Linked DNA regions of Ovis aries. The protein of the gene in region 1 interacts with the protein of each later gene in a pairwise test. Links are inferred from orthologs where the notes say so. Each region holds a gene or a part of one and is shown in the gene's direction. Other genes may lie near its edges.

Evidence for each region. The genes of interacting proteins can lie anywhere in the genome.
Region 2: the proteins of MAPK14 (region 1) and DUSP1 interact in binary tests that used the Homo sapiens proteins (3 or more experiments, as listed by UniProt). The link is inferred for Ovis aries from reciprocal best matches to the Homo sapiens genes MAPK14 and DUSP1.

What each region holds. Positions count from the first base shown.
Region 1 is NC_056073.1:10,092,099-10,099,820, forward strand, and holds the start of MAPK14 (mitogen-activated protein kinase 14), read left to right. Parts: upstream 1-2,716; 5' UTR 2,717-2,718; coding exon 2,719-2,834; intron 2,835-7,722. UniProt on the Homo sapiens protein: Serine/threonine kinase which acts as an essential component of the MAP kinase signal transduction pathway.
Region 2 is NC_056069.1:4,708,395-4,715,913, reverse strand, and holds DUSP1 (dual specificity protein phosphatase 1), read left to right. Parts: upstream 1-3,221; 5' UTR 3,222-3,462; coding exon 3,463-3,829; intron 3,830-4,104; coding exon 4,105-4,250; intron 4,251-4,614; coding exon 4,615-4,834; intron 4,835-5,264; coding exon 5,265-5,635; 3' UTR 5,636-6,314; downstream 6,315-7,519. UniProt on the Homo sapiens protein: Dual specificity phosphatase that dephosphorylates MAP kinase MAPK1/ERK2 on both 'Thr-183' and 'Tyr-185', regulating its activity during the meiotic cell cycle.

The sequences.
Region 1 (7,722 bases):
CACCCTAAGTCTCCCGACAACTCTTGTGGACAGAAAACGCAGGAGGAAACTGGAGGCTAAGAGGGTCCCCGAGATCTCCAACCCCGACTGAAGGACGCCCTCCTGCCCAGCTCCTCCCCCCAAGACCCCTTAACCTTCTGAAGCTCAGTCCCTGTCACTGCCTCTCCCTGTGTCTGCATTCCCTCTTTGCCCAGTTGCAGTTTTCCACTTGCTTGATTACTGTAGTAATGTCTAATATATTATTCACTTTACCTACGGCTTTAAAAAATACATTTACGTCTTTATTTAGCTGCATCAGGATTTAGTTGCAGTAAGTGGACCTTCCATCTTCCTAGCTGCAAGTGGGATTTAGTTCCCCGACCAGGGATCAACCCAGGGGCTCTGCTCCAGGAGCATGGAGTCTGAGCCACTGGACCAACAGGGAGTCCCTACCTATACCGTTTGTAATCTGTCTCATCCCCAGAAGGGCAGGAATTTTTATGTCTTTCTTTAATTGCTGTATTATTGGTGCCAGAGCAATGTGGTAGATCTAGTAAGTGCTCAATAAATCTGTGTTGAAGAAGTGAATGATTGTGCCACTACTCACTGTAGGCTCCACGTAGGCAGCCGCTATCTGCCTTTCAACCAACTTCCCATTAGAAGTGCCTGGTACCTAGTAGGCATTCAATATATATTTGCTGAGTGAGTGAGTGTATTGCTCATCTTTATTCTTTTGCTCACTCTCATGTCATCATCCCAATTTGTTGGATAAATACATGAATTTCTTAGAATTCCAGCTTCCAAGTTTTCCCCCTTTTATCCATGCACTCACCTTGATCCCCTACTCTTACCTCTCATATCTTTACAGCTGCATTTTTGCTCTTGCTTCCTCCTACCTCCAATACTTCTTAGAAAGCTCACTATCTGCAGTTTGGCTTGGAACATTTTTAAGCAACATGTCTTCTAAGGCAAGAGAATCTAGGCTGTCACACTGAATCCAAAGAAAGCTTTCCGCAGATCACCTACGACCCTTGTTTTGGGTTTTATTTTATTTTTCCTTGACAGCTGAGGATCCTGCAATGCCACCTTAGTTGAGATCATGTCCTTGTTCATAATTTGCTCAGCAAATACTTATGGAGTAACTTCTATGTTCGAGGCCCTGAGCTAGATGCTGGGACAAGATAGGCAAAATTTGAGCACTTCAAGGGATGCATAACACAAAAGAGAATAGTCATGGATAGTGATGGGAAGTGTCCTGGCTTGAGCCCAGTTAGTTCTAAAAGAAATGACCAAGAATAAGATAGGGTCCAATTCTGCTTATTGAAACAAGTTTTAGGGTAGGAATAAGTTAATAGTGACATGAAGGTATGGGGTTATAATACCTTGCCCATTCACATTTATTATCTTGTTCAGCTTTCAGGTGGGAAATTTCAGGGCAGCAATTCTTTTTTGCATAAACTGGAACTAAGGTCTAAGAAAGGTCAATTGACTTGCCCAACAGGATACTGCCAGAAAACCACTATCTGCACTGTTCTTACTCTGAGAGGCATGATTACAATTCTTAAAACCCTCTTTGCTGGAAGCTCTTCAAGGTAGGAATCAGTTTCAAACCTTCAGGGTAAAGGTTTTAAAATGTTTCTCCAAGGGAGATACCAAGAACTTTTCTGAACCTGGCGCATTTTGTAAAAATGCACAGTCTTGGAGTCCCTCTGGGACCCATCTAATCAAACTCGCTGTTCATTTTTAAGCGCCCAAGGTGCTTCTTCTGCACGTAAAAGTTTGAGAACTACTAGAAGTGTCTGGGTGGAAAAACCTCAACCTTAATTCAGGGCTAATATTTACCTTTGAGACAGATTTCGTCAGCATTCCGAAGAGTAAGTGTATGTCCTTGAGCAGATGGGACTACAACGGCTTTCTGGCCGGAATCTTTCTCTTTTTTATGCAAGTACTTCTTGGAAATTGGGGGTTTTCCGCCGAGCAGGTGCTCAGCTGCTGGTGATTACCCACCGTTTAAAGGTCTTTTGGCTCTTTTCCCAGACACCCGATTGATTTGTCACTGTCTCTTTCCAACAGGGAGCCAAGCACTTGCCCCGCCGACCACGATGGGGCGCGCGCGGCCTGTATCGTCTGCTTCTCCGCTCCTTCCCGGGTCCGCCTTCGCGCGCTAAAGGAGAGCAATCCCTGGGAGTTCCTGCCTCTAGGGGCCAGCTGTTGCTCTCTTCTCGCGAGAATTACTTCTCCCAAGCTCTCCCTTCATCAACCCCCCTCCCGCGGGCAGGTTCCATATTGGGTAAAATCTCGGCTCGAGGAGAGGTCCGGGAGCTGTTCTCGCGAGAGCACGGCGGGAGGCTCCTGTTCGCTGGCTCTGGGAAAGGCGACCACTGGAAGCTCCGCGGGCGCTGCAGCTGGAGCTGTGACCCCGCCGCGCAGCCGGGAGTCGGCCGGGTGTGGAGAGAGCGCAGGGAGAGCTGGGCGGGGCGCCAGCCCAGGGCCCCGGAGCGTGCCCCGGCCCTTCGCAGTGCTTCCCCCGCCGTCGGTGAGGCGCGTCCAGCCGCTGCGGCTGACAGGGGCCGCGCGCGCGCGCGGGCTTCTTCAGGGTCGCCGCAGCCGCACCTGCGCGGGCGGCCAGCGCAGGGGTCCCCGCCCGGCCGGGCGGGCTACGAGGTCAGGGGAAGCGGGTGCGGGTGCAGGCGGGGCCCTGCAAGGGCCACCTCCTCGCCCCGCGGCCACCGCTGGAAGATGTCTCAGGAGAGGCCCACGTTCTACCGGCAGGAGCTGAACAAGACCATCTGGGAGGTGCCCGAGCGTTACCAGAACCTGTCCCCGGTGGGCTCCGGCGCCTATGGCTCTGTGTGGTGAGTGTCACCGGGCCGGGGGCCTCGCTGGGCCGGGTGTCTCCGTATGCCCTGGAGTCAGGCCTGCCCCCACGGCTCAGCAATGCACCCAGCGGCAGGAATTTTCCTTGGGGGGAGGGCATCCCAGCCCTCTTCGACCCCTGTCCTGCACTCCCTGTCCCCCTTGCACCCCCACCCTGCACGCCCACGTAGATGGTCAGCTGTGTGTAGGACGCAGGTCCGCTGTGGGCGGTGGGTGATGGTGTTGGAGCCGGGCCCTGACTCGCACCCTGCGCGTTCCCTTGGGGGTGGGGGTGGGGGTGGGGGGGCGGTGCTGCTACGGGGGCAGGAACAGGGGTCCCTCTTCGGAGGTCTCTCCCTGCTGGCATCGAGCAGAAGGACTCTCTCGAGATGTGCCTGCCCTCGGAGCAGACAAGCCCGGGAAGCTGCCCGGAGAAGCAGAAGGGCAAAGCTCGACTGCGGTCATCTGAACAAAACTGAGGACGAAGGGCGTTGAGTTCGGGCTTTTTTGCAAACCTCTGTCGAAATTGCATTTTGAGAAGGGTTCTTTTTGAATTCGCACTTGAATTAGCAGCTATCCAGGGAGCTTAAAATACCGACTTTATCTCGGTGAGCCCTGTGCCAGCTTGAGTGGTGTGTTTCCGATTCAGTTGAAAGCGTATTTCCTTTTCGCAGAGTGGGGGGTGGTGGTAGTGCCTGCAGCTTGAGAAGCTGGCGGCCTCGCTGATTAGTCACATACCACTGCTCATTTAAGTATTGTTTGACAAAACGATTTTCTCCTTTGGAGCAAGTGAGGTTCAGATCCGTTGGACGCCCTCAAGATCAAAAAGTTTTTAACAATGCTGCGATGTATTATAAATATTTTTTAATCGTGATAATTCTTGTGAAACACTGTGTTTTTAAAGTCCTTTAGAGGGTTTGCAGAGAACTTAATCTGCACTTAAGGCCTGAGAGGTACATAATGGTTTTCATGGGATATGGAATATATAGCAAAAGAAGGAAGAGACACTTTTCAGCTTTAATTCACACTATGAATGTCTTTTAAATGAAACGCTACTGTAAAATTTCCAGACTCAGTTCACTAACTTTTCTAACTTCTAAGGTTTTATACACTGTATTTTAGATTTTGTGTAATTTGAGAGCTGACCTGAAGCTAATTCATGTAATTCCTGTGCATGCATTATTTGCAAAGAGGTCTACAAAATTAGTTTTTTGTTTCGGGGCAGGTTCCAGGCTTTTAGACTTGGTAATCTTTGAATATAATTCCTGTGTTTCTTAAAGCCCCAGCATGAATTTCCTGTTTGGTAGAATCTTCTGGGTAATTGAGATTGTGCAATTGTGTCCAGCAACAGATCATATTGCGTTTTCTAGTTCAGGCTGCTTGAGTGATGTCGCTGATGGCCCTATGCTTGACATCTTTTTTCCATTTTTATAGCGTGCTGTTGATTCGCTAATTTTCGAAGATGTGTTTGGATCATTGCTGCTTTAATAGCTCACTTGTTTACGGCCAGTTTTCATTCTGGAATTGACACATTAATTTTTGTGGTACTGAATTTTTGTTTCCTATCATTGTTGTTTAAACTTTAGTGGAGTGATACGGCTCAACTGTGGGGAGTTAGTGAACTGCTTGCAAGGTTTCCCTACAGTTGATGTGAGTAACTCAGCCCTGGCACTGGAGATCCAGTGAAGTGCTGATAAAACATGAACTCCACATTTTTTAGTGCTTTATTTTTCTGGTTTATAGAAGCCATCAAAACTGACACTTGGAAGTAATTTTGTTAAACAGGTTTTTAAAAGTAGGTAGTACATTCACATTGTATAAAATGTAAAAGGCATAGAAAGACAGTGAAAAGTTTCCATTCTCTTTGTCCAGCTGGACTAGTTCTTTTCTCAAGAGACCACCCCTGTTAAGTTTCTTGTGTGTCTTTCTGTGGAGGCAGTTCTGCTAAGGTTGTTTAAGGTGTAACCTATAACATATTGGTGGAGAAAAATAACCAATATTATGTGACAGTTGACCGTAAACAAGTATAGTTGATTTTGGATTGAAAATATCAGAATTTACATTCACATGTGTTATCTCATTCAGAGTAGTTATTTCAAGTTGTTCTTTCAGTCAGCAGCTTTTAGGTGTGGCAGAAAAAAAAAATGTTTTTTAAACTTCTCTTAGAATCCACTTTGGAGCCTGTGTTATTTTTCACTCTCTTCATTTTTTTTTTAGAGCAGATTTGATTTTAGGAAATAACGAAGTTAGATTGAATCCAAATCATTTAGAGAATTTGGGCTCAAGTCTGGTGAAAAAGATCAGGCAGCCAGGCTGGTGATACTGTTTGAGGTCAAATAGGAGTTGTAACCGTAAAGTAATGACACAGAATTTCCTGTGGGACTTGTAGAACTGGATTGAAGTCTGTTCCAAAAAAGAATCTCTGAAAGTATTTCAAGGAATGCAACATCACTGAAATAATGTGTCAGTTTCCTAATTTGATTGCTCTGAAGTGTGATACACTTTGATGTGTTAACTTTAAAAATTAAATAATAAGCCAATTTTCAGTGTTTTCATTTGTACTAAGTATCTAGTAACGCAAGTATGATAACTAATCGTGAATGAAAGATCAAGAAATCAAAATAGAACTTTGAGTATTAGAGTTTTACAAACATACCTTTCCTTCTTAAGGGGTAAAGGGAACTAAACTAAAGCTTGCAGCTTTAAGGAACTTGGTGCGCTGTCAGTGAGGGGAAATGAAGCAAAATTGTTCAAGAGTACGGTGTTGCAAAGCATTGATTTTGTGGTTTAGGGACGAAAGGGGCGGGGGAGGATCTTTGTGGTGAGTTTAAGGAAATATAAACAGGAACTTAAATGCCCTTCCTCTGGTGTATGCGTTTTCCAGACTCTTGCCTTTGATTATAGGAGGTGCGGCAGTGGTAACCATAAAACAGGTAAGAGATCAGAATTATTCTTAAACCATATTGAATCACTTATTAAGTAATATTTATTGAGCACCAACTATGGACCAGCAGCTTAGCACGCACACATCTTTAGGGGCGTCCCAGGTGGTGCTAGTGGTAAGGAACCCACCCGCCTGCCAGTGCAAGAGACACAAGTTTGATCCCTGGGTGGGGAAGAGCCTGTGGAGGAAGAAATGGTAAACCACTCCAGTATTCTTGCCTGGAGACTCCCCATGGACAGAGGAGCCTGGTGGGCCTCAGTCCATAGGGTTGCAAAGAGTCGGACATGCCTAAAATGACTTCACACACTCATGGACCAGATAGCAGGCTAGGTTTCTTGAGCTAGACTGTTAAACAAGACAAAGACAGTTCATTCCCTGGTAGGTGTATAGTGTGATGTGAATAATAACTGCATTTTATGGATTGCTTTCTATGTTCTGGGCATTGTTCTGTGCTGTTTATATTTATCATCAGTATATAAAGTATATACCAAAACTTTGGTAAAAGAATGGCAAAATTTACTAAGAGGTCAAATTCAACATCCAAAATGCTTTGTGAAAATAAATGTAGTAAAGATAAGTGAAGCTAAGTTTTTTAGTATTAATAGCCACTCATCATTTTAAATCTTGGGGAAAAAAAAAAAGAGCCAGGGCACAAATAAATAAAAGAATGTCATTATAGAGTGTGCAGAGGTGACTTTCCTGACTCTTAATCAGTGAAAGGGGTATATGTGTGTGTACTAGTTGCTTAGTCGTGTCTGACTCTTTGCAACCCCATAAACTGTAGCCCATCAGGCCCCTCCGTCCATAGGATTCTCCAGGTAAGAACACTGGAGTGGGTTGCCATTTCCTTCTCCAAAAGGAACTATAGAAAGAAAGAAAAAGTGAAGTCACTCAGCTGTGTCCGACTCTTAGCGATCCCATGGACTGTAGCCTACCAGGCTCCTCCATCCATGAAATTTTCCAGGCAAGAGTACTGGAGTGAGAGGGGTAGTCTTTTATTTTTCTAGTGGTGATAGTAAGCCCTTGCTGATCTTTCTTTGCATTTGCTCTTCTTTGTAAGCAAAAGCAAGGTGATTGGCTGCATGTTACCAGTACCAACCAATAAATATTTAAACACAATGGCAAAATATTTGTATTATTGATATGTGAAGACTTTTAAGAAAGAGTTCGTTTAAGTTGGCTATAAAGTCATTGTTTGTCAGATTCCCATTTTCCACAGGCTCCCATTTGAAAATAAGGGTATCCTGAACCTCTCGAGTTTCAGTTCTGCCAGTTTAATTCCTTGCTACTGAGGACTACTCTGCCTTTGATTTCCCTCTGCTTTAGCCTCAAAGATCTATTAATATCTCACTTTAGTATTAACAAGCATTCTTATGGGATTTTATACTTTATAATATATTTGCATTCAAAGCATTATTCAGTTTTCACTAGCTCTGTGAAGGCTAGTATTAACCTAGGTTTATAGATGAGGTCTGGTATACAGTACTACTTTGGATTTGGTTCTGTGATTTTAGTACTTCAGAATTCTCCTTTCCTATGCTTTAGGCTGCTAAGATTGTCTTGGTGGCACCTTCTCTGGTGCTGTTTGCCTCTCCCCACCCTCCTTTTGAGAAGAAAGGGGTTGCTGGATCGTTTGAAATAGTAGAGCTATGACTAACCAATCCCACCAGTGTAAGCCTGGCTAACCTGAGGTAATGACTGATTAAAGTCACATCTCTGCCTCAGAATTGATAGACCAGTTCCCAAAGAACTGTCAGTGCAAATAATTAATTCCTGAATTTATGAATCCCTTTGGTTTGAAATTCTTCTGTGCACATTTTGGAAAGTTGAGACTATCTGTACATGTTTCTGTTATGTAAGTATAGGATATAAATAGAAATAACCGCTTCTCTAGGCCTTTGAAAATATCTTGGATTTTTGCTCTTTCCTGTGAAATTTGGTAT
Region 2 (7,519 bases), on another chromosome or scaffold:
CTCCAGGCAAAAATACTGGAGTGTGTTGCCATCCCCTCCTCCAGGGGATCTTCCCAACCCAGGGATTGAACCCATGTCTTCTGCATTGCAAGTGAATTCTCTACTGTCTGAACCACTAGGGAAGCCCAAGAAATACTGGAGTGGGTAGCCTATCCCTTCTCCAGGGGATTTTCCCAACCCAGGGTCTCCTGCATTGCAGGCGGATTCTTAACCAGCTGAGCTAGAAGAAGGTTATTTTGAGACACTAGTCTGCCATCTTGGACTGGGGAGTTCTCCCAGTTTACAAATGGGGAAACAGAGGCTCAGAAGCGTTAAGCGATCTGCCTGCCAAGGTCACAGAGCAGACAGTGAGCTGGGGCTCCTTTCTGACTAGCATCTGTGAGAGCACCATTTTTTCTCCTCCAGTGACCTCAGAACAGGTCCAAAGCCAACTCTGAGGGCATGATTTGGACAGGGATTGGAATGTAAAATCAATCGTGGCTACTCAGTCTCCCCACAGCCCCTATGTCCTTACCTCCGTCACAGAAAGGAGGGAGTCGGGACATGAGAGGAAAAGCCACGTTCCACTGTCAAGCTACACATTAACGGTGCCTCCAGGTCTATTCCTGAGCACATCTAAAATCAGCAAGAGCCCAGGTGAGAAAGACCAGGTTCCCTCCCCTGAGTCAAAATCCCCTGATGCTCTTTCATGTTCCTCTGCCTCCCAGGGCCACAATTCCAGTCCCTTCTGCCTCTGCAGTCACCACAGACCAGATTATGTTGGGCCCTCTTTGGCTCCATCTCCACCCAGAAGTAGCACCTCTACATCCTGGACTGAGGGCCTAGGGGGCTTCATCTTTACCACCACACTCCCCAACCTGAGCCATTGTGTGTTGACTGGGCTCAGCGAGGGACCTCTGTACCAGCTTCACCTACCAGCATCCAGTGGTGACCTTCTCACCAAGCTCTGGTGCCAAATGCTGAAACACAAAATGGCCTGATTATATAAGAAGTGCTCTTCTGGGAAGGGGAAGACCAAAAGATCTAGTGAATCATAGCAAGAAGGCATGGGTAGGGCCTGGGCTCCTTATATCTATCATCTCTAACTTGGGCCTCAAATCATTCACAAAGTAGGCAGTTGTAAGAAAATTGTTCAGATGTCAGCTTAGAGGCTCATTAGGGGAAGAGATTCAGCTAGGATCACCCAGGAGCAAAATGACAGCATGGGGGCCAAGCTCTGCTCTTTCTAGACAGGCTAGAGAGGAAAACCGTGCAGAGCTCAGCAGACACCTGATTGTAGGGCCACACTGCCACTTACCGCTCTAATATTTGCATTAAAAAAAGTTTGCTTTTTGAAAATATGTAGGTATTAAAAACTGCTCTTGGTAAAACACACACACACACACACACAACTTGGGATAGATCAAGTTGGTATGCTGTGAAAAGTCAGCAGCTGTAACATTTCATGATTCAATGCATAAAATATGTTGAGTTCCTCAGCTGAATAAGTAGTATAAACAAATACTTTCTCTTTTTTTTAAAAGATACAGGGCGGGTGTTGCCATAATCTAAGGACCTCTTTGCTGTTCTCAGCCAGTGTTCACCTGAAGGCCAAAAATGCTCTTTTTAAAAAAGCACTTAGCCTTTTACTTTTTTAGAATTTAGGCAGAAAGTCTGAGCATGTGAGAACACTAAGCGAGGCAAATGCAGAAGTTGCCTCTGCTGATACAACCAGCGGATCAACGACACTGGGTGTTAGTGAAATACCCCGCTCTCCTAGAGGAGAGGGGAGGAAACCACAGAATGTTCCTGACTCAGCACCCCAGCCTGATGGCGCAATATTTGTGTTTGTGTGGTGCTGCCGGGGATCGGGAGGTCGGAGGGCTTCACTAGGGCCCAGGATGAGGGTGACCTTATGGAGGTCTCCCCAAACCTTTGTCCAGGTCCTGTAAATCCTCTTAAAATGCTGTAGGATTATATTTCAAGACCAGCTCACGTTGATGGCAAGAACCAGGGCCCTGGGGCTGGACGGTGCTCCGGTTCCCAGTTGCAGTCCCCAGCCCGGCGCTTAGTAGGCGCTCAATCAGTACATGTTTGGGGACTAAAAGAAAATCCCCAGGAAAAGGGAATGGTAACCCACTCCAGTATTCTTGCCTGGGAAATTCTATGGACAGAGGAGCCTGGTGGGCTCCAGTCCATGAGGTCGCAAAGAATCTGAAGAAACCACCACAAAGAGATGAAGCCGCTGAGACTTAAGAAAACGCGAGCAGAAGAAAGGTGTCTGGCGGTCCCTGCGGGGGCGCTGTCGATCCGCACTGGGCGGGGGGTCGCCTCACTAAAAGCCGGACGTCCGCAATCCACAACCGCACCTTGCGGCCCCCACCCTCATTTCAGACCCCTGACCCGCCTTCCTCGGCTCACAACCACGTAAGGACCACATGACTAGGATTGACATTTTTCTGCTTGGGGTTTGGTTGGACCGCATTTTACTTGTTAAATGTACATTTTAAAGTAACAGGAAAGCCTGGGGAACAGGAATGTATTTCCCTGAACACCTCCACCCCAACCTACCCCGGTTGTTCTTGAGCGGACAAACTCAATTTTTCTCCGACCCTCATTTCAGTCTCCCCTCGGCCCGCTCACCCCCAGCAGTGCGATACTGGGCAAGTATAATAAATCGCTTCTCCTCGGGAACCCGTGTTTCCTCGCCTGCTGGGTACGGGGAAATGAGAGAAAGGGGCGCCTGTGTATCCAGTAACAAAGGAGACCCCTTTCGGCTCCGGTCGGCGGAGGAGCGGGCGCCGGGACGCGGCGCGGTGGAGGGGGTGGAAAGGGGGAGGCGGGGGCCCATGGCACGCGGCCCGCTCCCAGGCACTCGCACACGGGAGTCAGCCCTCGGCTGGCAGAGCGCCCACCCTCTCCCCTCCCCGCTGGGCCCGGAGAGTGGCCCGGACCAGCTCCCTAGGGACGCGCCAGGCGCAGGCTGGACGGCCGGGCGGAGGCCGAAGCCCGAGCCAGAGCTTAGCCAGCGGACCCCACTCGGAGGCCGCTGACGTCTTCGCCTTTGGCTGCTCCGGCGCCAAACCCGGCAAGGCGGGTGACGTCACCACACCAGTCACGTGACCGTCATTCAAACAAACAATCCCCTCCCCCACAGCGCGCGCGCGCGCGCGCCCCGCCCCGCGCCGCCCCGCTTGCTTACGCGGAGCCACAATATAAACGCTCTCCGCCGGCTCGGACTCGCTGCGAAAGACTTCGGGGCCCTGGGCGAATCGCGGGTGGAAGGGCCGTCGGGAGAGCAACAAGGAAGCCGAGGCGGTCGAGAGTCCCACACGGCGACCCCTCGCTCGGTCCAAAGGCAGTTTGGGTTTGGCGCAAAGAAAACCGGGGTCGGGCTTTTCCTCGAAAGCCATCGCCCTGCTGTTCGCTTCCCGGGACAAAGAACGTAGGACGACTTGCACGCTGGGGGCGCTGGGGCCGGCCATGGTCATGGAAGTGGTCTCCCTGGACGCCGGAGGCCTCCGGACGCTGCTGCGGGAGCGCGCGGCGCAGTGCCTGCTGTTGGACTGTCGCTCCTTCTTCGCTTTCAACGCCGGCCACATCGCCGGCTCGGTCAACGTGCGCTTCAGCACCATTGTGCGTCGGCGGGCCAAGGGCGCCATGGGTCTGGAGCACATCGTGCCCAACGCCGAGCTGCGCGGCCGCCTGCTGGCCGGCGCCTACCACGCAGTGGTGCTGCTGGACGAGCGCAGCGCCGCGCTGGACTGCGCCAAGCGCGACGGCACCCTGGCGCTGGCCGCCGGCGCGCTCTGCCGCGAGGCGCGCAGCGCGCAAATCTTTTTGCTCAAAGGTACGCCTTCGGGGACGCTCAGGGGCGGGCCTCACGCCCTCCGCCGCCTAGTCTGGGGACCCCTGGTTCTCAGCTGCGGGGGGTGCTGCTCCACCTGAGAGCTTGGACGCCTGAGTCGCATTGTGGGGACTTGTTGGCTTTGTTTGGCTCTAGGAACAAAGACTCGCCTGGGGCTCCCCGGGCTAAACTTCCAGCTCTGGTGGATGAGGAAGTTGTATGAAGGTACCCTGTCTCGGCGGTACTAATGAAAAATATGTGTCTCTTTGTGTTCCCAGGAGGATATGAAGCTTTTTCTGCTTCCTACCCGGAGCTGTGCAGCAAACAGTCGACCCCCATGGGGCTCAGCCTTCCCCTGAGTACTAGTGTCCCTGACAGCGCTGAATCGGGGTGCAGTTCCTGCAGCACCCCGCTCTACGATCAGGTTAGTAGGGGGCTGTGCCGGAGGGGAGAAGGAAGAGCTGGCAAAGGTGGCAGAGCCGCGCTAGTGAAAATATAGAAAGTGACGTGCAGCTTTATTTATAACAGGGGACACAGGAGATTTCATTTATCCCGTGGTTACATGGCATGATGGAGCCGAGCCTGTAATTGTTGGCACTACAGAAATTAGCTTGTTGGCCCTGCCTAGGCAAATGGGTTTAGTCCCTTATTTATTGACACTCTTAACAGTGCTGTGAGGTTCACCCAATATTGAAACTAACTTATCCAGGAGGGAGGTTTTGTGGATGTGGGCACCACCATTGCCGTTGAACAAAGCTTGACAAGCGTTGGATGTTTCTGGATTTCAGGGTGGCCCAGTGGAGATCCTGCCCTTTCTGTACCTGGGCAGTGCCTATCATGCTTCCCGCAAGGACATGCTGGATGCCTTGGGCATCACTGCCTTGATCAACGTCTCTGCAAACTGTCCCAACCATTTCGAGGGTCACTACCAGTACAAGAGCATCCCCGTGGAGGACAACCACAAGGCAGACATCAGCTCCTGGTTCAATGAGGCAATTGACTTCATAGGTAAGTGGAGCAGATGCCTGGGACTTTGCCACACTCCTTCTGTTTCAGTGACTGAGACTAAATTCCATGGCAAGAACTTGAGCAACATAGATTTAAGCTTTCCTCTAGACATTAAAATCAGTCTGGCATGGGCAGCATCCCTGCAAAGTACAGTTTCGATGTCCCACTTTATAAATTAGCAAACTGAATCTCAGGTTGAATTGATCTGTCCAATATCAATCTGCTTAGTGGCGATGCCTTGCCTGGGTTTAAATCCCCGGCTGTTTAAATCCACTGTGCCCACATTGCCTTCATGGACAGTATGTCTGTGATGACATGAGGTGATATCGACCATACTGGACAGGACACATGTGGCATTTCTTAGACACCTGGGGTTGGTTGGAGTTATTCTCCTGGGCTCTCAAATAACCAGCTGCCCTTTGTTTTCCAGACTCCATCAAGAATGCTGGTGGAAGGGTGTTTGTCCACTGTCAGGCGGGCATTTCCCGATCGGCCACCATCTGCCTCGCTTACCTCATGAGGACTAACCGAGTCAAGCTGGATGAGGCCTTTGAGTTCGTGAAGCAGAGGAGAAGCATCATCTCCCCCAACTTCAGCTTCATGGGCCAGCTGCTGCAGTTTGAGTCGCAGGTCCTGGCCCCCCACTGCTCGGCAGAGGCGGGGAGCCCCGCCATGGCTGTGCTTGACTGCAGCACCTCCACCACCACTGTCTTCAACTTCCCGGTCTCCATTCCCGTCCACCCCACAAACAGTGCATTGAGCTACCTTCAGAGCCCTATCACGACCTCTCCCAGCTGCTGAAAAGCCACGGGAGGTGATCTTCACAACCCACCGGGATTCCAGGCTCCTGGAAAGTGGAAATGCAATAACTCCAGGGAAGGGGGCTCGTGAGGGCTGGTCTTTATTTATTTAATTTCACCCAAGTTCCACTGGGTTCCTGAGCAGTTGTAATGATGACTTCACGCCAAGATGTTTGCTGAACTCAGCACATTTCGGGACCAACATACAGTGCGTACATCAAGTCCCTCGGACAGAAAGGGGCAGAAGAGAGAGGACTCAAGTGTGAGAGCCGATTTCTCTTTTTGTCCCTGTTTTCTGAAGACACTTTTCATGCTTGACATACCTACCAGTATTACCATTCCCGACAACGCATATACATATGAGAATATACTTTGTTTTATTTATTTTTGTGTAGGCGGTCCACCTTCACAAATGTCAGTGTCTACTCCTAGAAGAACCAAATACCTCAATTTTTGTGTTTGAGTACTGTAATATCCTGTAAATATATCCTAAGCAGGTTTGTTTTCAACACTGGAAAGCACCAGTGTTGATTTTGTTTTGTTTTTTAAGTTGCCAACAGTTGTATGTTTGCTGATTATTTATGACCTGAAATAATATATATCTTCTTCTAAGAAGACATTTTGTTACATAAGGATGACTTTTTTATACAACAGAATAAATTATGGCATTTCTATTGAAATCTCGATGCTTTTCTTGGTCAGCCCTCTGATTCCTTTCCCATAACTGGAATAGGGGAAAACAAGGTCCTTCAGAATATGTTTTGGCATCTGATCCCATACTCCTTGGTGGCCCCCCAGTCCCATGAGATGGCTGGGTTGCCAGGGTGGTAGAGAAATGTGATCAATTATTTTTAAAAAGTACTAGAACCTGCTCTTGGTAATGAATTCGAGTGTCTGCCTATGTTTTTCCCAACATGTCACACAGGGAACCCAAGTGTACCCAGAGCCAAAACTAGGAATAAGTGGCCCATATGCTTGGTTGCTTTTTTCATTTAATACCTTCCCCCAGGTTAATCTTAAAAAGCCTCCTCCCCTCCTCTGATCTCTACTAAAGAGATAAAGATAGTTTCTCAGTAGGCTTGGCACAAGTGTGTTTCTACCATGTGCAAGGTGGGCTGTGCTTACCCCAGAACAACTCAGCAAGATCTGTAAAGGATAGAGACCCAGCATAGCTAAGGAACACAAGTGGGGGAGTTGGGCCCTGTGTCTGTTTTGTTTCCTAATTTTATGGCCTTTTTATTTCATAACTTGCTCCTCACGTGCTCTTTTTCTTTTGAAAAGACCTTTATTAATTATGAAAGGAATACTGAGCACAGTAAGCCAATACAATGCAGACAAGTCACCTGGAGCCCCCACCCCAGCCTGACCCTTACTGTTTTGGAGCCCGTTCCCTGGGCATCTCCGCATCTGTACCCAGCATTTTTGGTGGCAGCCTCCTTCAGGTCACTTGCTGCCCTGATTTCATAATTTTGTTGAAGAAGATAGACAATTAAATCTGGCTTGCTCTAGGGCAATATTCTGGATTTTCACTGTCTTGCCAAACAGCCCGAAACAGAGAAGGTGTAATTGACTACTAACCCGTAGCCCAGTCTTTAATGCTGAATTAAACAACAGAGAAGCTTCTGGATTGCTGGCCCCTTAGCCTCTGCATTCCTTTGTTTCTGGATAAAGTGCTGTAGGAAGCCAGAAAGCAAACAGCGTAGTTTTCCAGGGGTTCCCAGAGTAGTGGTCTTGGTCCAGGCCCATTGTTCAAGGCCTTGACCTTTCTCCACTGGGTCACCATGCACCGCTTGACTCCCAGCGCCAGGAAGATTTCTTTTCCCTGCTCTGAGAACTTACCCTGGGCCGGCAAGTTCATTTCCTCGACTGGGCTTCCGATTACAAG